Linked DNA regions of Macaca fascicularis. The main gene of each other region encodes a partner of the protein of the gene in region 2 in a complex. Links are inferred from orthologs where the notes say so. Each region holds a gene or a part of one and is shown on either strand. Other genes may lie near its edges. The genes, in order: MORF4L2, ING3, ANP32E, MBTD1, RUVBL2, MEAF6 and VPS72.

Region 1 (4,120 bases), on a different chromosome or scaffold from region 2:
ATCCTCACTATACAGCAAACTTAGCTTTTCTGATGGTGACCTAGAAGGTCAAACAAAAGGACAGGAAAGGACATAAAATAAAAAGATATGAGATATGGCTTTCTTCTACATCAGCCAATGCAATTTCATCACACACAAAGGACACCAAAGCTGATAAATAATGTACAAGTATTTCTTTTTCCTTTCTTGTGGCTACATTTTCAAATTTAACTTATTGTATATTTATATAACTTCTGACAATTTTTTTAACTTTTCCTTAAAGATAATTTCAAATGGATGAAATAAAAGAATAGTATTACAAACCTACACGAATCCATCATCCAGCTTTCAACAATTACCAACTGAAGGCCATCTTGTTTCATCTATAACCCCACCCACTGCTCCCCCCCACCCCCGACTTTTTCAAGCTCACGGGAATATCTGACTTCTGTATTTTATTATACAAAAATTTAAACGTATACCAAGGAAAGCAGATTAATATACGGAACCCACTGCCTATCACTCAGCAAAAACTATTATTAATTTAGGGTCAATTTTGTTTCATCTATACCCCTCCCCATTTCCCCCTACCGCTTAGATTATTTTGAAGCAAATCCTAGTCATTAATGTATTTAGAAGCCAATCCCAGACATTATATTATTTAATCCGTAAATATTTTCGTATATGTCTCTACAAAAAAGGACAATTTGAAAACATAATCACAATACTACTGTGACGCCTAAAAAAATTGACATCAATTCCTTAAAAAACATCAAATATCGAATCCATGTTCCAATTTTCCCGATGCGTCTTAAACATATTTTTACAGTTGGTGTGTTCGATTCAGGATCCAAACAAGGCCTACTCATCGCATGTGGTTCATCTCCAGCTCGCTCTCGTTCTCCATCTCTTTCTTTCTCGCACTCCACCCCCCCACCTTTTATTTAACTTTTCAACATGGGAAAATTACAATCTCTGCAATTTTGAGGCAATTCCCAAAGAGCAAATTATTTCATTGGTAAAAATTGATATATCTCTTTTATCTTTAATTTATTCTAGGAAAGAAGTTGATGGCAGAAAGGGCACTACAATTAGCGAATTTATATAATTTATAATTTTTCTCATTCTATTACGTGTATTATTTATCTCCATAACAATAGCTAATATCTTCAGGGGCCAGGCTTCATATTACGTGCCTTATACGCACCATTATACAGTACACGTCTCTGAGGTAGATACTATTATTATCACCATTTTACAAACATGGAAACCGAGACACAGAAAGAACAGGAGCCTTGCCCAAGCTGGGCGTTGGCGAGCAGGAATCTGAATCCAGCTCTGACCGATTGTGAAGGAACTAGCTAATCCCGTCTATACCCGACGAAAAGAGGAAATCATCGACCCTTTCTCCCCACCCCCACCCCGAAACCTGAAACGAGAATCCAGATCTTCCCAGCAGACGACGTGTGATCACTGCCGTTCCTCCAACCGCCATAGTAAAGCCAGGTTTCTCTGGCAACTGATATCCATAGGCAGACACGTCACCCTGGAGGAGGGCGTATGCCCTTCAGCCAATCACAATCGTCTTGTCTAAGTTTTAGAATGTTCCATAACCAAATGATTGGACAACCACCCCCACGTCAGCAATGACACTTCGCCGCAGTAAAGGCGGGTGCTAGCAACCTGCTTCTTCACTGTTAAGGCCTACAGCAAACCAATCCTCTTCCTCCGTCAGTGCGCGTTCCGGCCAATGACGTTCGCCCTCTTAGGTTTTTAGCCCGCCCTCCAAAAGCGTGACAGCCGTTGGGTCATAAGTCTATAGGGCAGAATGTTCACGTGGCCTATTTCACGACCCAGAGTTCCTCTGACCAGAAGGTTTTTTTTTTTTTCCTTTTCCTTTTTTTTTTTTTTTTAATTTTTTTCCTGCAGGGAGGCATTATGGGTTTGTGTTTCCCCCCAGCCCCCCACTGGGAGAGGAAGTGTCTACGTGGCCTGCGGAAATAGGCGGAAATGAGCTAAGGTTCCCGCGAGTGGGGAAGCGCGAGGTCAAATCTGGAGCCACGCCCCCAGGCCTGTGGCGCAACTCCCCGAACATGGAAAAAAAAGGCGCAGTGGGGGGTTCTGCTGTGTTTGCGAGTTAGGGTCGTGAGTGCAACGGGCGCAAGGCATTAAGGCCAGTGTGTTAGTGCGCGGGCAGGCTCGAGTGCCCCTGGGGTTGCTGTGTGAGCGGCCCTCGTGGCGCTGGAGGTGATGTGTTTGCGCAGGCGTGCGCCCCTGGCGTCTGGACTGGTGAGAGCCACGGCGCGCGCCCGCGTGCGTGATTGGGGTGGGAGTTGCGGGGAGGGGTTAGCTACTGCGCGCAGGTTATCTATTTCTGTATTTTGTTTGAAAATGTTCTAATGAAAAGGAAAATAAATAATTAAGGCAAGGCGACAATAACAGAGATAAAGGGGCACTGTCAGAAATATTTTGGCTTTCCCTGATTTAAATACTCCTCTGTGCCAAAATCCGGTCGTAAACCACAGCCCTCCAATGATTCAGAGCCAAAGCCTTCCATCGTCACATTAGCAACTCCAAAGGGAGACTTCTTTCAAGTTGTCTAGTATCCTCCTCCCTCCCCTCTTCCACACCTCCCCCCTCCCTTCAAGGTTGCGTGCAGTTCTCTTGGCACAAATACAATTTTCCTATGAGAATATCTATCTATGACAGCCTTCCCCTCCGTTAGAGACTCCGGATTTTTATGGTGACTAGGGCGCTCTTACCTTTGCGTTCTGATCTCCAAGCAAGCACACTGACCTTCTTCAGGCAAATACGCACTGTTAATTTTCCAGAAAGTTCTGTGGGTAAGGTTTATACCTCTCGAGTTCGCCACTAGATGCCGCCAAATCCCAGCAAAGGATTGGCTGTGTGGTCCCTGGGATTCTGGGATTTTGTTTCCCTCCCCCCTCCCCTTTCTTGATTTGCTGAACGCTAATATCTAAGGCATCATTGATATCGTTCATTCCTAGGAAAAAATAAAATCAGCTTCTGTGAATAGCACTAGTAGGCAGGGAACTGTGACCCAAGATCCAAATAATTTTACTCATTTCTTTCCTTTTCTCCTTGGGTGGGGGGGCGGGGGGGAAGGCCCCTCTCCATCCCTCGCTTCTTTTGTCCTTGCCTTGTTTAATCAAAGAGTTAATGAATGACCCAAGCACTGATGCTGAAGATCCTAACCCTTTTTCCTCAACTTTTCAAATGCTCGCAACTCACCCAAACTGAAAATACAGATAGCTGTTACTTTAGTAAAGAGATAAGAACTCATCAGTAAAACTTGGACCCTGGTATTGAAAACTGATTTTCCAAGGCCGGGCGCGGTGGCTCAAGCCTGTAATCCCAGCACTTTGGGAGGCCGAGGCGGGCGGATCACAAGGTCAGGAGATCGAGACCACAGTGAAACCCCGTCTCTACTAAAAATACAAAAAAATTAGCCGGGCGCGGTGGCGGGCGCCTGTAGTCCTAGCTACTCAGGAGGCTGAGGCAGGAGAATGGCGTGAACCCGGGAGGCGGAGCTTGCAGTGAGCCGAGATCGCGCCACTGCACTCCAGCCTGGGCAACAGCGTGAGACTCCGTCTCAAAAAAAAAAAAAAAGAAAACTGATTTTCCTTTTCTCTTGAAATTTGTATCAGATATGTGTGTTTGCACCCTATTTTCTGTAGTGGTATTGGTAGATTTTATTGTGTCTTTGGAGTGAGAGAAAGAGACTTAATTGTTAACCTCATTCCACCACTTACTAGTCTCAGTACCCTGGGCAAATGATTTATGTTCTGTGATCCTCAGTTTTTTGTATGCTTTCTATATTTTAGATGCTGTGTTATATCCTTCATGTCGATTTTTTTTTAAATTTATCACCAAGTCCTTATTAGATGAGCAGTACTAGATCAAAGTCAAACAACAAAAATCATACCCCTTTCAATTATCTATCTTATATACTTGTACACAAGAGGGATTTTTTTAGAGCAGTGGTTCACAAGATGTGTTTCCTGGATGTACCAGAAACATCAGCATCACCTGAAAAATTGTCAGAAATTCACATTCTCAGGTCCCACCTCAAACTTAATGAATCAGAAGTTCGCACGGTGGGGTTTGGTAATCTGTGTTA
Region 2 (3,949 bases):
ATTCACGACAGGGAAGTTTCCTGCTTAAGATGAGTGAAAACCTTGAGTAAGAGTATGTAATGGAGAAGGAAAGCAGGGAACACACACACACAGTTTCAACTGCAATCTGAAAAACAGAAAATGAAAAATAAATTATCAACTAATGACAATTTCCCCAGAAAATCGAAGAGCTAAGAAGAGAGGAAAACAACACCTAGTATTTATTGAATGCAAGAGTTTTTAATAAAAACAATGTAAAAAGAAACTGAGTAGGGACGTACTAACTATATCACAGGAAAACCTTCGCTGGGAGACGTCGAAAAGTAGAAAAAGAACGCCCAAGACAACCAACCTCGAATATGGACTATTTACTCAACATAAAGTTACTGCTATTACAGCCTATTCGAGATGAAGGCTCCATCCGTAATTCATGGCTGCTCACTATGATGATGATGATTATTACTATTATTTGTGGGTGCACATTGTATGTATAGATCAATTACATTAGAATGACGATTAGACGGACTGCAAACTACAATATGTAAGTGGCTATTGACACTATTTGTGCATCTTTTAATCTGGGAAATGCATATTCACTCCACAGTCTCAGTATAAACCATTTCAAAATTACACGTAAGCCAACCAGGTGTCTCTCTTATATTTTAGGAGTGAATAATGAGGATAAATTCCAGCAGAGAGTTCTGGTTTAAGTAACCCAAATTCCCCGAACTTTGCTGATTATCCTAGCGTTTAGAACCTTTGCTATTTGCCTGGCACTTCTTGAAACCCATGACTCACAAACGCCGGGGCATGGAATCACAGCAAAGAACAGGTGAAAAGTTGTTCCTAGTTGTGTTATGCAGGCGCACACAACTCCCGCCATTCTCTGTGCAAAAATCAACAAATAAACAGAGGCACCGCATTTCGGATTCTGTTACGCACTGTTTGCAATGGCGCCTGGTATTGGTAGTTTCTACGAGGGGAGCCGCCAGCGCGCCAACCCTTGCTCAGCAGGAAGAAAACTACATTTCCCACAAAGGCACGGGGGCGAACACCGGCCGGCTTACGTCATTCCTTTAACCAACCAATAGCAGTTCCGGGCGGCAGTGAGGCAAGCGCCGTCAGGCGCCAAAGTGGTTTTTTTTTTTTTCTCTTTTTTTTTTTTTTGCCGGAGTCGAGCGGGTGCTGCTAGCGGAGGCGCCATATTGGAAGGGACAAAACTCCGGCGACAGCGAGTGACACAAATAAACCCCTGGACCCCCTTGTTCCCTCAGCTCTAAGGGCCGCGATGTTGTACCTAGAAGACTATCTGGAAAGTGAGTGCGCGGCGCTGGCGGCGGCCGCCGGTGGGACCTGCGGGAGGGCAAGAGCGCGAGTGGACGGGCAGCGAGATGGCGGGAGGGAGGGGGCGGCGGGGGATGTTTCTCTCTCACGGTAACTGGCAGCCTCGTTGTGGGCTGCCGGCCCCCTCGACCCCCCTGACGCACGCGCGCAGTGACGTAAGCGCGTATTTCGCCGTTGGCCCCGCCCCTCTGACGGACTCTCCCTTTGACAGTGATTGAGCAGCTTCCTATGGATCTGCGGGACCGCTTCACGGAAATGCGCGAGATGGACCTGCAGGTGCAGAGTAAGTCGGCGCGTCTGCTCTTCATGTTGGCTGCGCGCGTTCAGTGCCAGACTTGCTTTTCATCACTGCTAGCGCCTAATGCTCTTTCACTGTCCTCTGGCTCACTCCGCTAGTGCATAAGGAGTTGTCAAAAAGAACTGGCAGCCCTGAATCTCGCCTTTTCTTTCCCTCCCATGCTACTTTTTTCTGGCTTTTGCAAGAGGAGGCGGCATTGGGACAGGTGTATTCCTTTCTAGAATGTAGGATTGTGCAAAAAATATTTCTCTACCGTCATTGAGATAGTTATCTATGTTTCAATGCACGTCAGCATAATAAATGTTGAGATGTTGTCTTGAGCCTTTTCGTATCGAACTTAGATTTCAGCATTTATACTTATTTTAAAGTTCATCCTATTCAGTTTTTCAAGAGTGGAGAGCATAGAAGCACAGGTTATATATAGCTCTTTAGAGACCCTGGCGAATGTCAAATTTTGAAAACTTAGTTACACATTATAAGATACATTTTAAATTGTAACAGAATCGTCATTTTCTTGGTTAAAATGAGTGACAGAAATTAGATTTCACTGTAAAGTTTCATATGTGCTGTACTAAAAATTTTAGCAGTTAGTGAACATTTATTTTTCTTTCAGTGATAGCTTGGTAGTCTCTGTGACTTTTTCCCCAAATTAACTTTACTCTTTCGTAGAGCAAGGACTATAAATAGGTGGCTTAGGGACCACTTGCTGCAGCTAAGAACCTGTCCTTTTCACTGCCCCTGTCTTCTCTGCCCGTGACCACACACCCACTTCTATACCCTTTGTTTATGCGTATATGTTTCCAGTAAGTTTCAGGTGGCACATAATAAAAAGTGGTGGCATGGAAGCCACCTTCTGTTCAGTGGATTGTGGTATGAAGTATGAATTGTGTGTGTGGTTCTCCAGCTATCTCACAAATTCATTTTAATTTTAGTGTAGTCGAAATGCTAAAGATTTGCTGAAGTATTTTCTGCAGGACTGAGCATAGACATGGATGTCAGATAGATCTGAGTTTGTTTTAGGGCTTTACTAATTTACTCATTGACTCTGACTGTATTACCACTTGTGTGGGGCTTTCATTGTCTGTAAAAAGAGAATCATCTAAGGATTTAAAATATTACAGATGGATTAGAATTTATAGTATCTGATACAAAGTAGGCATTAAATAAAGGGTAACTTATTTTAAATTTATTTTTATATTTTGTTTAAAATTTTAAATTCTCATAATTTGGGCTTACAGTATACATATTACAGGGTTTTTAAACGTGCATTTCTTTACAGTAACGAATTTTCTGAAGTTAATAGATATTATGGATTAACAGAACAGTGTGCCAAATAAATTCAGAAATGCTTATTTAAACAAAGGAAGATACTGAAAATTAACCATAGTACTTCACAGAGTCTTTAAAAGGCTATTGTGGACTGAAAATCTCCAAAAGAAGTATGCTATGAAAAGATTTTTCTCAACTTACGTAACAACAGAATCCTTTTTATTAATTTTTCCTTTTTTTTAAGCAGACATCCAATGAGATGATTAGTCTTAGCACTTAATTTGGGGAAAATTTATCTAGAATTAATGTTTAAATGATTGCACCTACTACTTTCAGTTGGGATATGACATGATGAGATGTTTAATGCCTTATACCAAATCTTTTTATCACTTTTTCTTGTTGAAAGAAATGTGAGGATTATCTAATGGTGTTTTCATTGTGTTTTGGTACATTTGTCTGATTAACACCTATAGCTTTTGACCCCAAGGCTGTATTGCTCAAAAATTATAGGATAGAGCCGATCTACTTTGTTGACTCTACTTTGGCTATTGGAAAAAATTTTGAAATAACAAAAACAAAAATAATCTGTCAATAAGGAAAATTGTAACTTTTTAAAGGAAGGTAATTGAGGCTTTATATATTTACATAATCAAAGCATAACATATTTAAGTTACTGGCAAAGTGAAAGAGTATATATTGTCAGATTTTTTTCCCTCCCTAAATCAAACCATGTATATTTAGTATATGAATTTGGTCATTTAATATGATTTTTTTATTATGTCATAGATGCAATGGATCAACTAGAACAAAGAGTCAGTGAATTCTTTATGAACGCAAAGAAAAATAAACCTGAATGGAGAGAAGAACAAATGGCATCCATCAAAAAAGTATGTGCGACACTTTGGATAATTTATCAAGAAATATTGGGACCCTCTGAAAAAGATATTTCAAAATTAAATAGTGATCTGGATATCAAAATAAGGGAATATTATCAATGACTCTTTAGAATGTAAATAATTTAGTGTGGTTTAGAGCTTCAGATAGCGATTTTTAGTCATT
Region 3 (3,941 bases), on a different chromosome or scaffold from region 2:
GGTTCTCTATACCCGATGTGAAAACCTGTTTGAGGTATCCGAGGGCTAAAATTTGGCAACAAGGAATGCCACCTTCTCTATTTGAATACGACTTTGACATAATTATTTCTGTTGCCAGAGAGAGCATCTTGAGCTCCGTTTTGGAGAAGTGGAAGCTATGGCCCAGAGAACAAGAATGGCTTGCCTAGAGTCACACTTGGTTTGCCGCAGGGCTGTGAATTGGTTCGTCTTCACACTCCCCATTTAGTTGAGGAGTGGGGGCTACTAGATTTGGTGTCAGAAAACCAATTCCTGCACTTGCGTAAATCATTTCACTGTCCTGAGACTCCGTCTGCTAATTTGGATTCTAGAATAACACAATCCACTTTACAAGTGTGTAAGGAGGAAAGTAAATAACAAACGGAAAAAGTGCTTTGTAAACTGTCTACACAAATGTAAGAGACCGTTATTACAACACAGAGGAAGAAGCTGAAAAAAGGCAACGTCCTGCACTCCCAAAACTGGCAAAGAAATTACTACAATCACTAAGTCAAAGAATCCTGGCGGGGGAGGCGGGGGCGGGATTCAATTTTCCAACCCAAGCCACCAAAAAGTATTCTAAACGTGTGCTTGTGAGAGACAGCTTTTCAAGTTTGATTTTGTTTTTTCCCTGAAGCCCCTAAGAATAAGTTCTAGAAACTTCAAGATCTCTCCGGGATGACCCTGATAGCAAGCAACTGTTTCCCCTCCCTGGCCCCTGCCAATTTCAGAAAACAGGCACCTTAAAAAAAAAAAAAAAGGCCGGGCGCGGTGGCTCACGCCTGTAATCCCAGCACTTTGGGAGGCTGAGACGGGCGGATCACAAGGTCAGGAGATCGAGACCATCCTGGCTAACACGGTGAAACCCCGTCTCTACTAAAAAATACAAAAAAAAAAATAGCCGGGCGAGGTGGCGGGCGCCTATAGTCCCAGCTACTCGGGAGGCTGAGGCAGGAGAATGGCGTGAACCCGGGAGGCGGAGCTTGCAGTGAGCTGAGATCCGGCCACTGCACTCCAGCCTGGGTGACAGAGCGAGACTCCGTCTCAAAAAAAAAAAAATGTATTAAAAAAAAAAAAAAAAGTCTTAGTTGCCACTCCACACGCCGTACGCGAAAGCCTAGACAGACCCTGCTCATCCTCTATGCGGGTCTGCACAGACACCACCCGTTATATCCTTCTATCGATCGGTCGATCCAGCTACAGACAACTCCCTTACATTCCAATTCTAGGGCTTCTTTCAGCAAGACAGATGCTTTCCTCTGCGAGGCTCCCCGCTGGCCACCAGCCCTGCTCTCGCGACCTGCCGCTCCGACTGACGGGAAACCCCACACCGGGCGGGGACTCCCCAAGGAAAAAAGGGGTCGCCTCCCAACCCGCGTTGCCCTCGCGCCTTCGCCCTGGGTAGGTGAGGCCGAGGAGGCAACCGCGAAAAGGAGGCGGAAACGCCTCCTGCCCGACCCCCGAAAAGTTGACCGCGACCCCGCCTCATGTGGCCCCTCCCAACCCCGTCTCTTTAACTAAGGCAACAGCAGTGAGAGCGCATCATTTAGTTTCGGCGAACCCATCTTTAAAGCACGAAACTACTACGTCCCTTAATGTTGAGTTCTGTGAAACCGTCTCCAGGGATCAAATTCAAGAGTTGCGGCCACACGACGTGCCACATATCTTTACACGGCGGGGGAAGAAGCGGATTACGCCTCCCGTCCCCTCCCCACCTCCGGTCACTGCGACGAGTCCCCAAACTCGCCCGCGGTCAGAGAACCCGCGGCTGACCCAGATTCCGCCGGGCGGAGGGCGGAGGGCGGAGGGCGGAGGGCAGCGCGCGCGGCTTCCCGGAGGAGTGGGCGCCGCCGGAGCAGACAGTGCGCGGACCCTGAAAGCGACCCCAGTCCGCGCCCGTCGCGACGTCGGACGCCCAGGGCCTCGAGGCCGGGGGAGCCCACCCCCCAAAAAGATGAGTTGGCCGCACTGCAGAAAAGTTGGACTAACTTCTCAGGCGCCGATGGCTGCGGCAGGGGCCGAGTGGGACTGGGGGGTCGCGTCCCACGCCGCTGGCCCTCAGGAGGAGGAGCGCCGGGAGCGAAGCGGCAGAGCGCCCCCACCAGCCCGCTTCCCGCCCCCACGAGGCCAGGACGCCCGACTCGATGAAAGCCGAAAGGAGCTAAGCCCCCATGCACACACAAAAACGCCCCTAGAAACTTCAACCCTTCGCCATTTTAAGTAGAAGATTTTAATGATTTAAAACTTAAAATTAAACATTTCCCCAACCCTAAACCGGGGGGGCGGGGGCTAACTTATTACTCCATCCCCGCACACCCACCCAGGACCACCAGAAATCCGATCCTCAGAATACAGGACTGATGGGGAAGGGGTGGGGGCTGAGTCATCTCACCTCCTCCGGGGCTCTGTTCCTTAACTCCAGGTTAATCTTCTTCTTCATCTCCATGTCCTCCTCTTGCTCTTCAGCTACTACTCTCCTTCTTTTCCCTTTCCTGCCTTTCCCAATACCCCCAACCCAAAATTTTTAAGAGATTTAGAAATGAATGAAAAGGAACGCAAATATAAACGCCCACTACCACCAGATAGGTGTGGGGGAGAAAGAAGAGAATAGCAAATGGAGTCCAAGAGTTGGGACTCTAACTCAGCTGCCCCCACCTCCTTGTCCACACACTAGCGCGCGCACTCACACGCACGCACGCGCGCACACACATACACACACACATACACACGCACACACACACACACCCGCAGTTCCTTCCCCTTCAATGGCTGCTCAGAGACTGAGCCTCCATGACACGGCACCGCCAACCCCCTGGCCTACACTCCACCCACCTCCCAAACGTATTGGTTGATTCTTTAGCGTCACATTATTCCATTGGGCTAGGTAAATGTCTATCAGTCTTCAGGGAGGACCTGGACCAGAAACTCCGTATCTATTGGCTACGATCAAGGGCGCAGTTAATTCTGATAGGTCCAGGAGGGTGTACGTTCGGGAGTAATGATTTTGAATCCCAGTTCCCCCCCTACTTTTCTTTATGTAGTTGGCGCGCTTTCCCTGGGCACTCGGACGGTTTTGTTGTCTGTTGGATTTGGTTTTTAGTTTTTGGTTTTTTATTCTGTTGTTAGTGTTAAAGAGGGAGAAAGCATCCTTCCGTGCCCAACTTGCGATACTGATAATTCACCACACGGCATGCACTGGCTCTTGGCCGTTTTAAAAACACAGCCTCTGCTTTGCAGCCAAGGTGTACAGCAACGTGCGCATCACATTAAAAAGATGCCTTGGTGGCATTGTCCTGCTGGGGTCAGGCTTTTCACAGAGGCTGACCTTCCGTGATGCAGAGCCAGAGCCAAGATTTTAAAGATGGTAGTTTAACACTATAAAAGACAACAATTTTGAAAGCTGTTGGGTGAAGTATGTAAGTTAATAATATTTAAATAAAACTATCCTGGAGGAATTGTTACTGAGTTAATTTTTGCTGTAATAAACACTAAGACCTTGGAGGAAAAACAACGCTGGCCTAATGAAAATCAGACATTAATTAGCATAGAAATGGCACAGCAATGCCTCTCTAATTTCCCTTTGGTTGGTTTCCATGGAAATCTGTAGGTAAAGTGTGCTTTTAAAAGTGTTTATCGCTTCTTCTCTGCCTTTTGGCTAAGATCAAGTGTAGGATCTGTTCTTAACAGTTTAATATCTGATATATTTTCTATCCGAGTCCAATATATTAAATGGATTTGGGGAGCAGGAAGACGCAATAGGAGCTTTCTTGTTCACTTAACGCATCCACCTGGTATTACAGTACCTCCAGGAACAGTGCACTCCCTCAGGGGATTAAAATTTAGTGTTCAAGACAGAAGAAGGAAAAAAACAAAACAAAACCAGTTTGTCTATGTGGGATGGGATATGAAAGAGTAGGATAATA
Region 4 (4,274 bases), on a different chromosome or scaffold from region 2:
GAAATTTATTTGCTGGCTTTTAAATCAGATGCATTATTTCTACATTATATCTGTTATGTCTTGACCCCCCAATTCACCATATTAGGGAGAAACAGGCACATCCAAGACTCTTAGGCCAATAAAACTACTTTTGGAGGCAGCACAGCTCACCAAATGAAGGAGAATGTTAAAGAAACACCCAGTGACAATAGTTTCAACTGACCTATCTCAACCAGCCAGGGATAAGTACTGGTGTATGCTAGTATAAGGAGAATTAAAAATATTGTAAACTCTAAACAAGTATTAAAATGGTCCATAAATTTCAAATCTCATAAAAGATAGTTACTTAAAAAAAAAAAAAAAAAAAAAAAAGGAGTAAAAGCATTTGGAAGAGGGACCCCTGGAGGAAAGACTAGCTCCCGAGGAACACAGGTCAAATGGGTGGGGGCGGTAATCATCTAATCATCCCTCTATCAGGTGATGCTTCAGTACCATCCCTAACAGTTTTAGACATCCTTAGGAGAAGTGATTTAGGTAATCCGCAAATGTGTTTTGCGATACAAGAACCACGGAGATGACGCTGAAATTTCTGACTTCAAAAAGATGCACTCGTGAGAGAAAACAGGCATGAAATTCCCATATTGTAATTATTTAGCTTCCTGTAGAAAAAACACCTTCAGGCATGTAAGGCAGCACATTTGACACTGACCCAGCAAAGTTTTCGGCTGGCCCTCACTATCTCTCAACCCCCCCTTCCTCCACTTCCCTGCTGTTCTTTCCTGGCACACAAAATATAGGCCAATGAGCAGTGGGTGGGTGAGGAGGATGTGAGAGAAAATTTGAGAAGTAAAAAAAGGAGCAACTTAACCAGGACATGAATGAGAGACTGAAGGGTCTAACAAGGGTAGGCAGACAACAATTAGAACTACTGAAAAATGGGCTTTCCAGGGCAGTAGTGAGCGCTCAGTGCTTTTAGGGGTTTAAGCAGGGGTCAGACTACCTACCCCTTGTCAGAGAGGCTGCAGAGGGGACGGCTGCTTTAGATGACCTCTAATGTCTCTTCCGACTCTGAAATGTTAGGATTCTTATTTCACAAAGGAGAACGCAATGGTCATAGAAGCCCACCGACTTGAAACCCTTTTAAATACGCAGCCTTGGAGGCTGCTTCCCAAACACCACTCCCACCTCTCCCGCACGTGCCCACCCCGCCCCCTTTCAATATTTCCACCTCCACGTGCAAACCGCCTCGCGGCACTGGCCCCAAGCCGGACAGACTCCTACCCCTGCAAAGCACCAAAACTATGCTCTCCCTCCCCGCGAAGAAGAGAGGACTACTCCACTCTCCCACCCTGGGTGGCTAAAAAAGGAAAAGTCTCGGATCCAGCCTTTCCCCCCTAGCCAGAGCAGGGGGCGGGGGCAGGACGCAGAGAAAAACTTTCTTCTCGAATTTTTCTTCTAGAGGGTGGAGGAGATGGAGAGAACCCCAACGAGTCCAGGGCTGACGGGGTGGGGGGAGGGGAACCCCTGAATCGTTTAACGGCTGGAAGGGGGAGGGGGGGCTCCGGAGATTGAGGGGGCGTGGGATGGAGAAGCAGGCCAGGGAGCAGGGTCAAGGAGCTGCGGGGTTCCTGGGGTCGGGGAGCTGCAGGCGTCCCCCCCACCTGGCACACAAAGCGGCTGCCGCGCTCGGCTCTCACCAGATCCTTTGTGTTTTCCATCAGGGCCTCATGGGTAGGGGTTGTCCGTGCTCCCCGAGCCCGCGGCGCCCCCTCCCCGGGCTGGGGGCAGGTGCCTCTCCCCGGGACTGCGGCGACTACAGAGGGCCCCCGGCTGGGCCCAGACCGGTGGCGGCTGCGGCAGCCCCCGGATTTCCCCCCTTTAACTCGGGTGGCCCCAGGATATCAACAACATTAGCATAGCCCTCCCTCCCCAGCGCGCCTGCGCCGTGACCCGCGCCCCGATTGGCCCACTTCCCTACATACCCTCCTCACTCGCTTCCAGCGTGGGACCCTCTGCAGGCTCCGTACTCCAAGGACCGTACCAAGACGAGAGGTGGAAAGCGCATTGGAGCTTGTGTTAAAGCCACTGGTTAAAGTCAACAGGAAAAGCAGAAGTTTCATTCAGCTGTCCGAGTGTATACTCGGGCTTTCTTGCGCTCCTTTCAATATGTTGCAGCTGCGAAGTTGTGTTGGAAAAATTTTCCACTCCAGTCACGCCGCTTCCCCCTACACCCGGAAGATTGGCCCTCCCGGAGGAACTCCCACACGGGGCGGGGCTGGGTAGGGGAGTGAGAGTTACGTAGAGGGAGGGAGTGCTGGTCACGTGGCAAGAGGCTGCGCAGGCTCCTTCCGGCCCCAGGGGCTTCGGCGGCGGCGGCCAGGGAGGTGCCTGGGCGCATGCGCAGCGAGGTTCCACGTGAGCGCCTGCGTTTCTCCTCAAACCTAACGATGCCGCCGGAACGGAGGAGACGAATGAAACTGGACCGGAGAACCGGAGCGAAGCCGAAACGGAAGCCCGGAACGAGGCCGGACTGGAAAGCCGGAGCAGGGCCAGGCCGGCCTCCCCAAAAGCCTGCCCCTTCATCCCAGCGGAAACCGCCGGCCCGGCCGAGCGCTGCGGCCGCTGCGATTGCAGTCGCGGCGGCGGAGGAGGAGAGACGGCTCCGGCAGCGGAACCGCCTGACGCTGGAGGAGGACAAACCAGCCGTGGAGCGGTGCTTGGAGGAGCTGGTCTTCGGCGACGTCGAGAACGACGAGGACGCTCTGCTGCGGCGTCTGCGGGGCCCGCGGGTGAGGGAGGCCGCGGCGCGCGGGCTGGGCGCGCTCGGGCGGGGCGCGCGGTGGGCGGTGAAGCTCTGGGGGGCGGAGCCTGGGCGACCTGCGGCGGCGGGGAGCGCTCAGGTGGGAGGGAGCCTGAGAACGCGGGCGCCGAGGGTCGCAGCTGCGGGTCCTTCGCCTCCCTGCTCCAGACTGAAAGTGTCTGGAGGGCGGGGACCGCGCCTTTCTCCGCCCCCGGAGGCGCCGCTGCTCGGGTATCTGCTTTGCGAACTGTGGTAGTGAGCATCTTTCGCCGCTGCTCGGCTCCGCTAGCCTCTCCCCAAACAATGTGGTCTTTTGATCACCTGCCTCAGTTCCTTGTGATCTAGGAATTCCATTTCGTTGATGGAATCAATTCGTGGGCACGGGCCTGGGCATCTGCGTTGTAACTATCTCCCCATGTGACTGTGAGACCCACAGGATTTTGAGAATGATCGTGAATTTCGTTCATTTAGCAAATATTGGGGAACCTGTTGGTTGCCAGATACCCTCTCTGGCAATGGCAAACCCTGCGTGATTCATCATACTTTTTGCACACATTTTGCTATCCATTTAATTCTATACCAGGCTTTTCTTGAGAGAGTCCCAGACATTGTTCTAGGCACTGGAGGAGACACAGCAATGGACAAAACTGACAAAAATCCCTGCCTCTTGGAGCTTGTATGCTAGTGGCAGAGACAAGATAGATGAGATAAACCGGTAAACTTCAGGTTTGTTGGTGACAAGTGCTGAAGAGAAAAAAGGACATACGGTAAAGGGAGATGAGCGTGTCTAGAGGAGGCCTGTGAAATTTTAGATAGGGGGCGGAGGAAAGCGCACCGAAAATTACCCAGTCCATGTTTCTTACACAAATGCTGACCCATCTAATGTCAGCTGCTTACCAGAGCCTCCTTCGGGTGCTTGTGGGAGAAGTGGCAGCAATCTATTTGGGAAGTACAGAACTGCTACTGGAAACTGAACTTTGTGACAGTTTTGTCGTCTGGAAAAGGAAGAGTGTACTGAGGTGGGAGCTGTTGGGTTTGAAGTCTGTTTATTAGACTGGTAGTAGAGCAAGTAGAAACCACTTGGACATTTCTGTCCTGTGGTTTTGGGAAGCTCAAACTCACTTCAAGGGGTATTCTATGGTTTAGGTTTTTTTTTTTTTTTTTTTTTTTTTTTTGAGACGGAGTCTCGCTCTGTCGCCCAGGCTGGAGTGCAGTGGCCAGATCTCAGCTCACTGCAAGCTCCGCTTCCCGGGTTTACGCCATTCTCCTGCCTCAGCCTCCCGAGTAGCTGGGACTATAGGCGCCCGCCACCGCGCCCGGCTAGTTTTTTGTATTTTTTTAGTAGAGACGGGGTTTCACCGTGTTAGCCAGGATGGTCTGGATCTCCTGACCTCGTGATCCGCCCGTCTCGGCCTCCCAAAGTTTTTTTTTCTTTTTTTGAGACAGAGTCTCGCCCTGTTGCCCAGGCTGGAGTGCAGTGGCCCCATCTCGGCTC
Region 5 (3,500 bases), on a different chromosome or scaffold from region 2:
CAAAAAACACAAAAATTAGCCGGACATGGTGGTGCATGCCTGTAATCCCAGCTACTCAAGAGGCTGAGGCAGGAGAATTGCTTGAACCTGGGAGGTGGAGGTTGCAGTGAGCTGAGATTGTGCCACTACACTCCAGCCTGGGTGACATCTAAAAAGAAAAAAAAAAAGAATTGGAATTGGGTAGCAATTGCTTTGCCACCTTAAAAAAAAAATTAGGCTGGGTGCAATGGCTCATGCTTGTAATCCCAATGCTTTGGGAGGCTGAGGTGGGAAGATTGCTTGAGCCTAAGAGCTTGAGGCCAGCCTGGGTAACATAGTGAGAGCCCGTCTCTACAAAAAATTTTAAAAATTAGCTGGACATGGTGGCGCACATTTGTGGTCCCAGCTACTCAAGAGGCTGAGGTGGAAGGATCTCTTGATCCCTAGAAGTCAAGGCTACAGTGAGCCGTGATCGTACCACTGTACTTCAGCCTGGGTGACACAGTGAGATCTTGTCTCCAAAAAAAAAAGTGGAGAAAGCTTTTTTGGCTTTTCCCAGAAGTCCCGCTAGTAATGTCTGCTTCCATCTCACTAGCCAGGATGTGGTGGAAATGTAGTGGTAGGGCCAGGCGCGGTGGCTCAAGCCTGTAATCCCAGCACTTTGGGAGGCTGAGACGGGTGGATCACGAGGTCAGGAGATCGAGACCATCCTGGCTAACATGGTGAAACCCTCTCTCTATTAAAAAATACAAAAAACTAGCCGGGCGAGGTGGTGGGCGCCTGTAGTCCCAGCTACTCGGGAGGCTAAGGCAGGAGAATGGTGTAAACCTGGGTGGCGGAGCTTGCAGTGAGCTGAGATCCAGCCACTGCACTCCAGCCTGGGCGACAGAGCGAGATTCCGTCTCAAACAAACAAAAAACAAAAACAAACAAACAAAAAGAAATGCAGTGGTAGCCCCGTAGGAAATCACCTCATGTGCTGCCTCCCACCCACAGGCTTCGCAGGGCATGGTGGGTCAGCTGGCGGCACGGCGGGCAGCTGGAGTGGTGCTGGAGATGATCCGGGAAGGGAAGATTGCTGGGCGGGCAGTCCTCATTGCTGGCCAGCCAGGCACAGGGAAGACGGCCATCGCCATGGGTAAGAAACCTCCCAGGGCAGGAACTCTCCTGGTCCTTGGTAAATAACTCCTCCTGTGTGAGTCAGGGTCAGGATCAGCTGCATTTAACAGGTGACCCAAAGTGGCAGTGGCTTAAACACTCACAATTCGTTCTCGGCCGTGGAAGAATCTAGAGGTAGGCCATTTGGGGCTTATTAAGTAGTGCCAGGAAGTCTTCCGTCTTCCTGCCTCATCATCCTCTGCACTTGGTTCCAGTGTCAAGAGGACGTCGTGTTCCAAGAGGGCTGCCGGAGCTCCAGCCTTCGCATTCATAATCCAGGCAGCAGGAAGAAAAGAGTTAGCATGAGGGTGAACCCCTCCGGTTGGCTTCCTTTAAGCAGTCATCTTGGAAATCCTCCATGTTCTGCTTATATCTCATTGACTAGAATTTAATCATATGATCACACTCTGCTTCTGGGGAGGCTGGGACATTAGATGTTTGTTTAAATTTCATAATTTGGACCATTTTTGCCTTAAGAAAATGAGGATTCTTCTGTTGGACAACAGGTTGTAAAAATAAGAAATTTTAAAAAAGAAAATAGGAAAGAAAATGAGGGTTCTGGAACTAAAGAGGAAGGGGAAGGTGGGTATTGAGGAGTCACCCAGCATCTCTATTGCAGTCCACTAGTGATTTATGATTTTTTCACTCCCAGCTGTTCTTCTTCTTCCTTGTTGAACTCCTATTTATCCTTCAAAACCCTATTTCAGCATCTCTGCCTCACTGAAGCTTTTCCTAACCCAATGCTCTTCCCACTCACTCCCACCTCTGTGCTGAGGATGGGGCCAGGCAGGGAGAATCTGAGTAACAGCCAGGTCTTCAGTGAAGATAAAGCAATGCCTGTTGGGGTGCCAGGCCTTGCACTGGACACTGGGGACCCATAGATGAGTTAGACCAAGGCCTGACTTCAAAGAGCTCCTGGTCTGGAGGAGGTGGTCATGGACACGATCCCTTCCAAGGTGACATGTGTTACAGCGGAGGTAGCATGTGACAGAGGAGGCGCCTGACCTTAGTAGGAAAACGGGGCATGTGGTGGCATTTGTCGGTAGAGGCTTCCAAAGAAGTGGATACCTGAGCTAAGCCTAGTAGGATGGCCAGGAGGCTCCTGGGCAGACACTGGGGACAGCATGTCCAGGCCCAGAATGTGGCACACACAGTGCCTTCCTTCCCTCCATCCTTTCTCCTTTCCTCTTCCTTTTTTTTTTTTTTTTTTTTGAGACAAGAGTTTCACTCTGTTGCTCAGGCTAGAGTGCAGTGGTGTGATCTTCGCTCATTGCAACCTCTGCCTCCCGGGTTCAAGTGATCCTCCTGCCTCAGCCTTCCAAGCAGCTGGGATTACAGATGTGTGCCACCACGCCCAACTAATTTTTGTATTTTTAGTAGAAATGGGATTTCACCCTGTTGGCCAGGCTGGTCCCGAACTCCTGACCTCAGGTGTTTCCCCTGCCTGCCTCGGCCTCCCAAAGTGTTGGAATTACAGGCGTGAGCCTGTAGACTTTATTTTTTAGGCATGTTGTGACCGTGCCTGGCCTCGCCTTTCCTCTTCTTGTGTCTCCCAGGCAAAGCCTCCTGCAGACCAAACCCTGTGCTGGGCAGCACTGGGGTGAGGCTGGCCTCGCCCTGAGGGGGACGCTCCTTAGTCTAGTGAAGGAGGCAGAGAGGACCCCTGGTATCCCCAGGTGGCATGGGTCATGCTCGTCCACTCAGTCCTCAGCAGATACTTGCTGAGTTCTGTGCTGAGGGCCATTGTGCATCCGCAAAGGGGACCAAGAAGAGGTGCCCCTTGACCCTGGGCAGGAGGGTGTGGCAACAGCCTGTCTGTAAGGGCATGCCCCACATTGGGCCAAACCTTGTGGCCAGGAAGCTGGAGGGAAAGGTCTGGCGCTCAGAGCCATTGCTGGAGACAGCCTTGCTTCCTGCCAGCCACCCCAGGCCACAGGCGGTCGAGCGCCCTGCCCTGTGCCGGTTTCAGGCTGTGCAACCATGTTACCGCTGAGCACCAGTGCCTGCCTGCCTGCCTGCCCATAGTTGCTCCTAGGCAGGGTGTCATGCCATGCCAGCACCTATTCTGTTATCAGCCCCATCAGACCGAGGGGGAAACAGACTCGGGGAGCCGTCCAGATCACACGGTGCCGACTGCACTAAGTGGTGGATCTGGGATCAGAACCCAGGCAATCTGCCTTCATCACTTGTAACTATTGTGGCAGCCCCTTGGCCTTCGTCCCTGCTCCCCATCGCCCAGCTCTGAGGCTAAACAGCTCATAAAGGCTGGGAGACTGAGGTGTGGTGAGGTTCTAGGGTGTACACTCTGGGCAATGTGGGATTCTAAGCCAGGCCTGCCAGAGCAACCTGCCCTCCCTGGCTTCT
Region 6 (4,001 bases), on a different chromosome or scaffold from region 2:
GTTATATAAAACACACCTATTGGCCGGGCGCGGTGGCTCAAGCCTGTAATCCCAGCACTTTGGGAGGCCGAGGCGGGCGGATCACAAGGTCAGGAGATCGAGACCACAGTGAAACCCCGTCTCTACTAAAAATACAAAAAATTAGCCAGGCGCGGTGGCGGGCGCCTGTAGTCCCAGCTACTCAGGAGGCTGAGGCAGGAGAATGGCGGGAACCCGGGAGGCGGAGCTTGCAGTGAGCCGAGATCGCGCCACTGCACTCCAGCCTGGGCAACAGCGTGAGACTCCGTCTCAAAAAAAAAAAAAAAAAAAAAAAAAAAAAAAAAAAAAAAACAACACACCTATTGGGGAAAACTAGATGAAGACTACAAAAGACCATTCTGCCAACTCCCTATGAATCTATAATTATTTCACAATTTAAAAACGTGAAATGTAAATACAGGTGTGTGCTTATATTAATATTATAGAGAGTAAGAGAAAGCAAATGTCACAACACATTAACAATCTGAATACAGGTAGGACAGTATCAAGTGTTCATATACTATTCTTCCCATTTTTCTATAACTTGAAGATAATCCAAAAGTTTAGAAATTTTTTAAAAATATTACTAAGCAAGCAGTGGTACAGCTGGCACACAGGTATGGCAAAAATTGTGAGGGTCAGTTGGGCGTGGTGGCTCACCCCTTTAATTCCAACACTTTGAGAACCTGAGGCAGGAGGACTGCTTGAAACCAGGAGTTCCAGGCCTGCCTGGGCAACAAAGTGAGACCCCACTTCTACAAAAAAAAAAAAATGTTTTTAATTAGTCAGGTGCAGTATTGTGTGCCTGTAGTCCCAGCTAATTGAGAGGCTGAGGTGGGAGGATCATTTCAGCCCGGGAGTTTGAGGCTGCAGTGAGCTAAGATTGTGCTACTGCACTCCAGCCTGGACAACAGCATGAGACCCTGTCTCTTAGAAAAAAGAAAAGTGGCCAGGCATGGTGGCTCACACCTATAATCCCAGCACTTTGGGAGGCCAAGGCAGCAGATCACCTGAGGTCAGGAGTTCAAGACCAGCTGGGCCAACATGGAGAAACCTCGTCTCTACTAAAAATAAAAAAATTAGCCAGCCATGGTGGCATGCGCCTGTAATCCCAGCTACTCAGGAGGAAAAAGAAAAAAAGAAAAGAAAAATACTGTGAGGGTAGAACTCACGACTGATTAAAATGTGTAAAAAATTTAATAGAGTGATGTTGTATAAAGATATTGTTATATGCTGTATTTAAGCCTCACACAACCCTGTGCCAAAGGCCCAACTTTTGCTATTTTACAGACGTGAGCTTTGTCTAAGATTATTCAGTGAGGCAGTGCCTGAGCCAGAGTCCAAGAGTTCAAGTCCAGACCACACCACCACTTTACTACTGCCTCTAGCAAACTTGCTACTAAGAGCCTACAGTCCTACAAACACACACAATAGGAACACAATAGGAACACTACAGGCTTTCGACACTCACTTTTGGTTGGTCAGATACCGATCCCAGCCACGAATAATATTGCCATACATCTGAGTGTCTTCCAGGTAGCTTCCCTCAAAAGCATAGATCTGTCGCTCCAAGTTTGCCAGTGTTTCCTGAGAGATGAAAAACAAGGACATGAATAATGCCTTTTAAATGCAAACACTTAAGTCTGACCAAAATGAAATCCTGATATTAGATTTGTAAACGCAAGCTTGTCCACACTAAATCACCCTGTGGAGAGATGGATGATATGGGGAGGAGCAGCCGTTTAGGACTAAGACAGTCTAGACCTTTGGGTGTGATGGACCTCTGAATGTATAAAGCATGTCCCCAGAAAAATACACACACACGCGAAATTTTGCATATACTTTAGAGGATTCACGGAAACCAGGAGTCAAGAACCCAGGCTAACGCAGAACTTGTGCGATATCCACTCCCACGCACAAAAGGTATCGCTACCAGGAGAGGGAAGGGTGAGCAGCCTTTCAGCGTCAACTCGCTCCCCTCCCCGCAGGCTCAGAGAGGCCGCCGGCACCGGGCTGCCAGTTGCTATGGAAACCTGGAAGGGCAGCTTCAGGTGAGAGGGGCCTCCGGGGTGCCCAAGCCGAGACGTGAGGGCAGGAAGAGCTTAGCCACCAGGGTGCATTGGGCCTTGGGTGCCTGTCACAATTCCGAATTCTCCAGAATGTGTTCTTCTCCCTCGCCTGTCACCTTCTAGATATTCCCAAACACATCACAACCCTGTCTATCAAAAGCCTCCATTCAACGGATCTACTACTAGTACCAAAAAGAACACGCTCCCCACCATCCTCCAAAGTCCAGACAGGGTGACTCGGTCCCCCTCCCACACTAGCCTCCTACCCCACCCCCACCCCGCAAAGATCACGGACTCGCCCGCCTCGCCCTTCCTAGCGCCCTCTCCCCGAGTCCCGAGCCCCGGCACCGTCCTCCCTCCACGCCCCCTCCTGCGGCTGCCGCTGCCCCTCCCCCTCCCGCGCTCCCAGCTCCCTCCCGGCTCCGGATTCGCACAGCCGGGAAGCTGAACCGCCGGCGGGCCGCAGAATGCGCACCCGGCCTCAGGCCGCCGAGCACACAGCCCGCCGCGCCGCGCCCCCGGAGTAACGAACGGCCTGGCGCAGCCGGGCTTGGGGCCTGGAGGCGGGGCGGGCGCGGAGCCCCATGCCGGGCAACCCCGGTCCTAGCCCCTCACCGCCAACTCCTGCTTCCGCTTCACGAGCTCCGCCAGCTCCCGCCGGGTGTCCGGGATCTGCGGCGGCGCCGCCTTGTTGTGCATCGCCATGTTGGGCTGAGGCGGGCGGCGGCGGCGCGAGGTTGGGGGCGGTCCCTGCGCCGCCAGGGGGCGCCCCCCGCACTGCGCCTGCGCGCGCGGCTTCCGGAGACGCGTGCAGCGCCGCGCAGAGGTGCTCTGCGGCCGGGACTCTGGACGATCCTTCTCGGAGAGGTCCAGAGAGTCGGCTTCTGCTCTGCCCTTTACGCCGTTTCCTGCCCCTCGGCTGGCCGCGGGCTTTACAGACGGCACAAATCTACCGTGTCCAAAGCCTAGCTCGTCCTCAGGCCTCCGAGTCTCCTGTGCGTCCCGCCTCAGTCCACTTCAGTGAATGACTTTCACTATCCACCGCAATTGCCTGCGTCAGAAACCCGGTTTTCCTCACTCTGCACCCGGAGTAAAACGCGATACCAGGTCAAGCCCTGTGGATTCGACTCCGGAAGAGCTCGCGAATCCATTTGCTTGTGCCTGCGCCTTTTGCCACCTTCTTAGTTCATTCAGGCCCTCCCTGTTTGGGGCTACGTTATTCCAACAGCTTCTTTATTTCCACCTTTAGCCCCATTTAATCCACTATCCACAGTGGTGCCGGAATCTTCCAGAAACAAATGTTATCACTCCCCTGTTTAAAGCCTTTCAGTGGCTTCCCATTTTCCCATTGCCCTTTGGAGAAACAAGTATGTGTAGTGGTTAAGGGCACAAAACTGGAGCGAGAACTACCTTGTTCAAAATCCTATCGCTACATCGATAAAGTGTGCCCCTTTGGGTAAATAACCAAATCTCAACTCCCTCATCTGTAAAATGAAAGCAGTGATAGAATCTACTTAATACAGTTGCTGTGAGGAGTAAATCAGCTAATGTGTGTAAGGGGTTTGGCAGGTGCCAATGACTCTGCAAGTACGAATTCGCTTTTATCGTTAAGTCCAAGGTGTAGACGTTGTTTTCACTTGGCCCCTGTTGATTTCTCCCTCCTCAGCTCTCCATCTTTCACTCTTCTGCAATTTCGCTATCATAAGTCTAAGTGGGATATTTTTTCTTTTTGTTTTGTTTCTTGCTTGGAAGTCTTTGGATTTCTATAATCTGTGGGTTGGTATCTTCCACCAGTTTTGGGAAATCGCAGTCATTTTTCTTCAGATGCCTGTCTCATATTCTCTCTCTTTCTGGAACTCGAACATAAGAAACCTTTATTTTTAACCTACCGTCTATATTTTCTATCTTTTTGTC
Region 7 (3,500 bases), on a different chromosome or scaffold from region 2:
CTGACCTCAGATGATCTGCCTGCCATGGCCTCCCAAAGTGCTGGGATTACAGGTGTGAGCCACTGTACCCGGCCACCACACTTTCTTTCTCACCTCCCCCATCTGAGGCCAATTCCTCCACCATGCTGCTCTATCTCCCAGCCTTGCCTCCCATCTCCAAAAACCTACACTATTAATAACCTTTCTTTCTTCTCTTTCTTTAAACTCAGTTGTTTCTCATGAAAGATATAGTTTCTAATTATCTTCAAATAAAATAAAAACAACTTTACCTTAATCTCAGACCCCTCTGTAGCTTCTATTCCCTCTTCTACCCTTCATAGCCAAGCTTGCAAAGTTTTGCTCCCCAATATACTTCGATATGGCTTGGTCGCCAATAAGTGCTAAGGTCATGTCTGACCTCTATCTCACTGAAACCAATGGGCACTTCTCAGTTCTATTAATCATCATCTCAGCAGCAATCAGTAGTCACTCTCTCGAGGCATTCTCTTTCCTGGCATTTTTAACACAAACTCTCCTGGGTTTCTCCAACTCGTTGGTCACTTCCAGGCTCTTTTCAAAGCTCCTCCTCTTGTATGAAACTATCACGCTTTAGTGTCTGCAGGACTCTATCAGGCCTCTGTTTTCTCACTCTGTGCTTTCTCCCTGCATGCTCAGATGCACTCCAATATTGTTAATTACCATCCATATTCTAAAGACTTCCGAATTTATATTTTCAGCCCAGATCTCTTATTGGAACACCAGATTTGCATATTTAACTGACCTCTCATCACTGCATGAATTGCTCACAAACTCCTTAAATTCAACATGTTCAAAAATAAATTTATTTTTTCCCCACTGAACTTGCTCCTCCTTAAGGGTCTCCTAAGCCAGTTACTGACACGGAAAACCTAGGAGTCACTCTCCTTACGGTAGTCCAAACCAATCAATGTGGACAAAGGATGCAGACTGTAACTACAGTAACATCAAGGTGACCTTGTTGCTTGTGAGCCACCACACCCATGCCCAGCGAAGTTATCTAAATTGCAAAACTATTATTAGGCCAGGCGTGGTGGCTCACGCCTGTAATCCCCGCACTTTGGGAGGCTGAGGCGGGCGGATCACGAGGTCAGGAGATCGAGACCATCCTGGCCAACACGGTGAAACCCTGTCTCTACTAAAAATACAAAAAATTAACCGGGCGCGGTGGCGGGCACCTGTAGTCCCAGCTACTCGGGAGGCTGAGGCAGGAGAATGGTGTGAACCCGGGAGGTGGAGCTTGCAGTGAGCCGAGATCGCGCCACTGCACTCCAGCCTGGGCGACAGAGCGAGACTCTGCCTAAAAAAAAAACAAAAAAAACTATTATTAATCTGGTATGGATGGGTCCCAGATATTCCAGGTAAATAATCTCCCACTTCTGGGAAATTACATCTGGCTTATGCATATTCAATTATGTATGGTTGGCCAAAAAGAAAAAAAAAAGGAGAGAGAGAACAACAATAAAAAGGAGATTCAGAAAGAGAAAAATAGCCAGGCACGATGGCTCACGCCTGTAATTCTAGCACTTTGGGAGGCTGAGGCAGGCAGATCATGAGATCGGGAGATAGAGACCATCCGGGCTAACACGATGAAACCCCGTCTCTACTAAAAATACAAAAAATTAGCCGGACGTAGGGGCATGCACCTGTAGTCCCAGCTACTCGGGGGGCTGAGGCAGGAGAATCGCTTGAAGCCGGGAGGCGGAGGTTGCAGTGAGCCAAGATCGCGCCACTGCACTCCAGCCTGGGCGACAGAGAGAGACTCCGTGTCAAAAACAAAAAAAGAGAAAGAAAACATATTAAATACTGTAGGTGATTCCACATGCTATTTCACCCAGAAAGTATGTACCAGGAGGTATGAATCTGCTGGTCCCTCAATTTCTCATGTACCTTTCATGATATGAGACTCTTACTACTCTATAAAGAAGTATATATTTTTGTATAATATAATACCGTACATGGTTCTATGCCTATAAACTGGAGAGGTTTTTGTTTTTTTTTGAGACGGAGTCTCGCTCTGTTGCCCAGGCTGGAGTGCAGTGGCGCGATCTCGGCTCACTGCAAGCTCCGCCTCCCAGGTTCATGCCATTCTCCTGCCTCAGCCTCCCGAGTAGCTGGGATTACAGGTGCCCACCACCACACCCGGCTAATTTTTTTGTATTTTTAGTAGAGACGGGGTTTCACTATGTTAGCCAGGATGGCCTCGATCTTCTGACCTTGTGATTCGCCTGCCTTGGCCTCCCAAAGTGCTGGGATTACAGGCGTGAGCCACTGCACCCGGCCGAGGGTTTTTTTTGTTTTGTTTTGTTTTTTTTGAGATGGAGTATCGCTCTGTAGCCCTAGCTGGAGTGCAGGGGTATGATCTCGGCTCACTGCAATTTCCATCCACCTCCCAGGTTCAAATGATTCTCTTGCCTCAGCCTCCCAAGTACCTGGGATTACAGACATGTGCCACCACGCCCAGCTAATTTTTGTATTTTTAGTAGAGACAGGGTTTCATCATGTTGGCCAGGCTGGTCTGGAACTCCCAACTGCAGGTGATCCACCCATCTTGGCCTCCCAAAGTGCTGGGATTACAGGTATAAGCCACCACGCTTGGCCCAAACTGGAGAGATTTTTAAAGCAATACCATAAAATGAAGAGATTTTTAAAGCAATTTATCTCATGAAGGACTAATCTGCTGACTTTACATTCTCATGATTATCATTAAAGTCAACATTATCACCCCCTGCTTTTTTTTTTTTTTTAAAGAGATGGGGTCTCACTATGTTGTCCAGGCTGGTTGTGAACTCCTGACCTTAAGCAATACTCCTGCCTAAATTCCCTGAGTCATTAGGTGTACACCCTATTTTATAAACAAGAAAAGCAAAATGTGAATAAGTAAAGTAATTTACCTACAGTCTGAAAGCAAGTGAATAGCAGAACCAGGATTTGACCTCAGTTCTATACAACTCTTATTTTACACCAAAGTACCTTAGCTTGTTCTTCAGAGTGCTCATAACTGCCTAGACCTTTGCACCTAATCATCTACTCTCTGCCATTTCTTCCTTCTGATTCTCTCATCCCAAATTTCCATCTCTCCAATTCTTTGGTTCTTCAGGTCTCATGGTTTTTCTCATGCCCCTCAGCCCCTCTACCCACTTTTTCTGAAACCACAGACTGACCCAGTGAACGTAAATTAAGCTCTTCTGTGATCTTGGCCTCCCGGAGCAGCTCCTCCTGGGTTAGTGGCCGCTCACAGTGGGGCCCCTTTCGCCGTCTTGACTGGCCCTGCCTCTCCTGTACCCGAAGGAACGTTTGTCGTGTATGCTCAGCTGTAGACTGACGCATGGACTTCCTACCTGGAAGAGAGTGAGATAAGAAGAAATCTTTGAATTTACGTCCACCTATTTTATTTATTTATTTATTTTTATTATTATTTTTTGAGATGGAGTCTCGCTCTGTTGCCCAGGCTGCAGTGCAGTGGCACGATCTCGGCTCACTGC

Evidence for each region.
Region 1: ING3 (region 2) and MORF4L2 share a complex: the UniProt entries of both Homo sapiens proteins name them as parts of the nuA4 histone acetyltransferase complex. The link is inferred for Macaca fascicularis from reciprocal best matches to the Homo sapiens genes ING3 and MORF4L2.
Region 3: ING3 (region 2) and ANP32E share a complex: the UniProt entries of both Homo sapiens proteins name them as parts of the SWR1-like complex. The link is inferred for Macaca fascicularis from reciprocal best matches to the Homo sapiens genes ING3 and ANP32E.
Region 4: ING3 (region 2) and MBTD1 share a complex: the UniProt entries of both Homo sapiens proteins name them as parts of the nuA4 histone acetyltransferase complex. The link is inferred for Macaca fascicularis from reciprocal best matches to the Homo sapiens genes ING3 and MBTD1.
Region 5: ING3 (region 2) and RUVBL2 share a complex: the UniProt entries of both Homo sapiens proteins name them as parts of the SWR1-like complex. The link is inferred for Macaca fascicularis from reciprocal best matches to the Homo sapiens genes ING3 and RUVBL2.
Region 6: ING3 (region 2) and MEAF6 share a complex: the UniProt entries of both Homo sapiens proteins name them as parts of the nuA4 histone acetyltransferase complex. The link is inferred for Macaca fascicularis from reciprocal best matches to the Homo sapiens genes ING3 and MEAF6.
Region 7: ING3 (region 2) and VPS72 share a complex: the UniProt entries of both Homo sapiens proteins name them as parts of the nuA4 histone acetyltransferase complex. The link is inferred for Macaca fascicularis from reciprocal best matches to the Homo sapiens genes ING3 and VPS72.

The regions. Positions count from the first base shown.
Region 1 is NC_088395.1:110,058,189-110,062,308, forward strand, and holds the start of MORF4L2 (mortality factor 4-like protein 2), read right to left. Parts: upstream 2,801-4,120; 5' UTR 2,742-2,800; intron 2,269-2,741; exon of another isoform or gene 2,254-2,268; intron 1,478-2,253; exon of another isoform or gene 1,409-1,477; intron 41-1,408; 5' UTR 1-40. UniProt on the Homo sapiens protein: Component of the NuA4 histone acetyltransferase complex which is involved in transcriptional activation of select genes principally by acetylation of nucleosomal histone H4 and H2A.
Region 2 is NC_088377.1:162,563,701-162,567,649, forward strand, and holds the start of ING3 (inhibitor of growth protein 3), read left to right. Parts: upstream 1-1,149; 5' UTR 1,150-1,267; coding exon 1,268-1,295; intron 1,296-1,534; coding exon 1,535-1,606; intron 1,607-3,676; coding exon 3,677-3,777; intron 3,778-3,949. UniProt on the Homo sapiens protein: Component of the NuA4 histone acetyltransferase (HAT) complex which is involved in transcriptional activation of select genes principally by acetylation of nucleosomal histones H4 and H2A.
Region 3 is NC_088375.1:111,027,968-111,031,908, reverse strand, and holds the start of ANP32E (acidic leucine-rich nuclear phosphoprotein 32 family member E), read right to left. Parts: upstream 2,801-3,941; 5' UTR 2,465-2,800; coding exon 2,411-2,464; intron 1-2,410. UniProt on the Homo sapiens protein: Histone chaperone that specifically mediates the genome-wide removal of histone H2A.Z/H2AZ1 from the nucleosome: removes H2A.Z/H2AZ1 from its normal sites of deposition, especially from enhancer and insulator regions.
Region 4 is NC_088390.1:55,444,692-55,448,965, reverse strand, and holds the start of MBTD1 (MBT domain-containing protein 1), read right to left. Parts: upstream 2,801-4,274; 5' UTR 2,769-2,800; coding exon of another isoform or gene 2,427-2,768; 5' UTR 2,100-2,426; coding exon 1,962-2,099; intron 1,916-1,961; exon of another isoform or gene 1,698-1,915; coding exon of another isoform or gene 1,677-1,697; intron 1,048-1,676; exon of another isoform or gene 984-1,047; intron 1-983. Other genes in the region: UTP18 (U3 small nucleolar RNA-associated protein 18 homolog), read left to right, coding at 2,427-2,768. UniProt on the Homo sapiens protein: Chromatin reader component of the NuA4 histone acetyltransferase complex, a multiprotein complex involved in transcriptional activation of select genes principally by acetylation of nucleosomal histones H4 and H2A.
Region 5 is NC_088393.1:56,988,371-56,991,870, forward strand, and holds part of RUVBL2 (ruvB-like 2), read left to right. Parts: intron 1-974; coding exon 975-1,116; intron 1,117-3,500. UniProt on the Homo sapiens protein: Possesses single-stranded DNA-stimulated ATPase and ATP-dependent DNA helicase (5' to 3') activity; hexamerization is thought to be critical for ATP hydrolysis and adjacent subunits in the ring-like structure contribute to the ATPase activity.
Region 6 is NC_088375.1:197,413,606-197,417,606, reverse strand, and holds the start of MEAF6 (chromatin modification-related protein MEAF6), read right to left. Parts: upstream 2,801-4,001; 5' UTR 2,793-2,800; coding exon 2,703-2,792; intron 1,606-2,702; coding exon 1,490-1,605; intron 1-1,489.
Region 7 is NC_088375.1:110,036,189-110,039,688, reverse strand, and holds part of VPS72 (vacuolar protein sorting-associated protein 72 homolog), read right to left. Parts: intron 3,357-3,500; coding exon 3,180-3,356; intron 1-3,179. UniProt on the Homo sapiens protein: Deposition-and-exchange histone chaperone specific for H2AZ1, specifically chaperones H2AZ1 and deposits it into nucleosomes.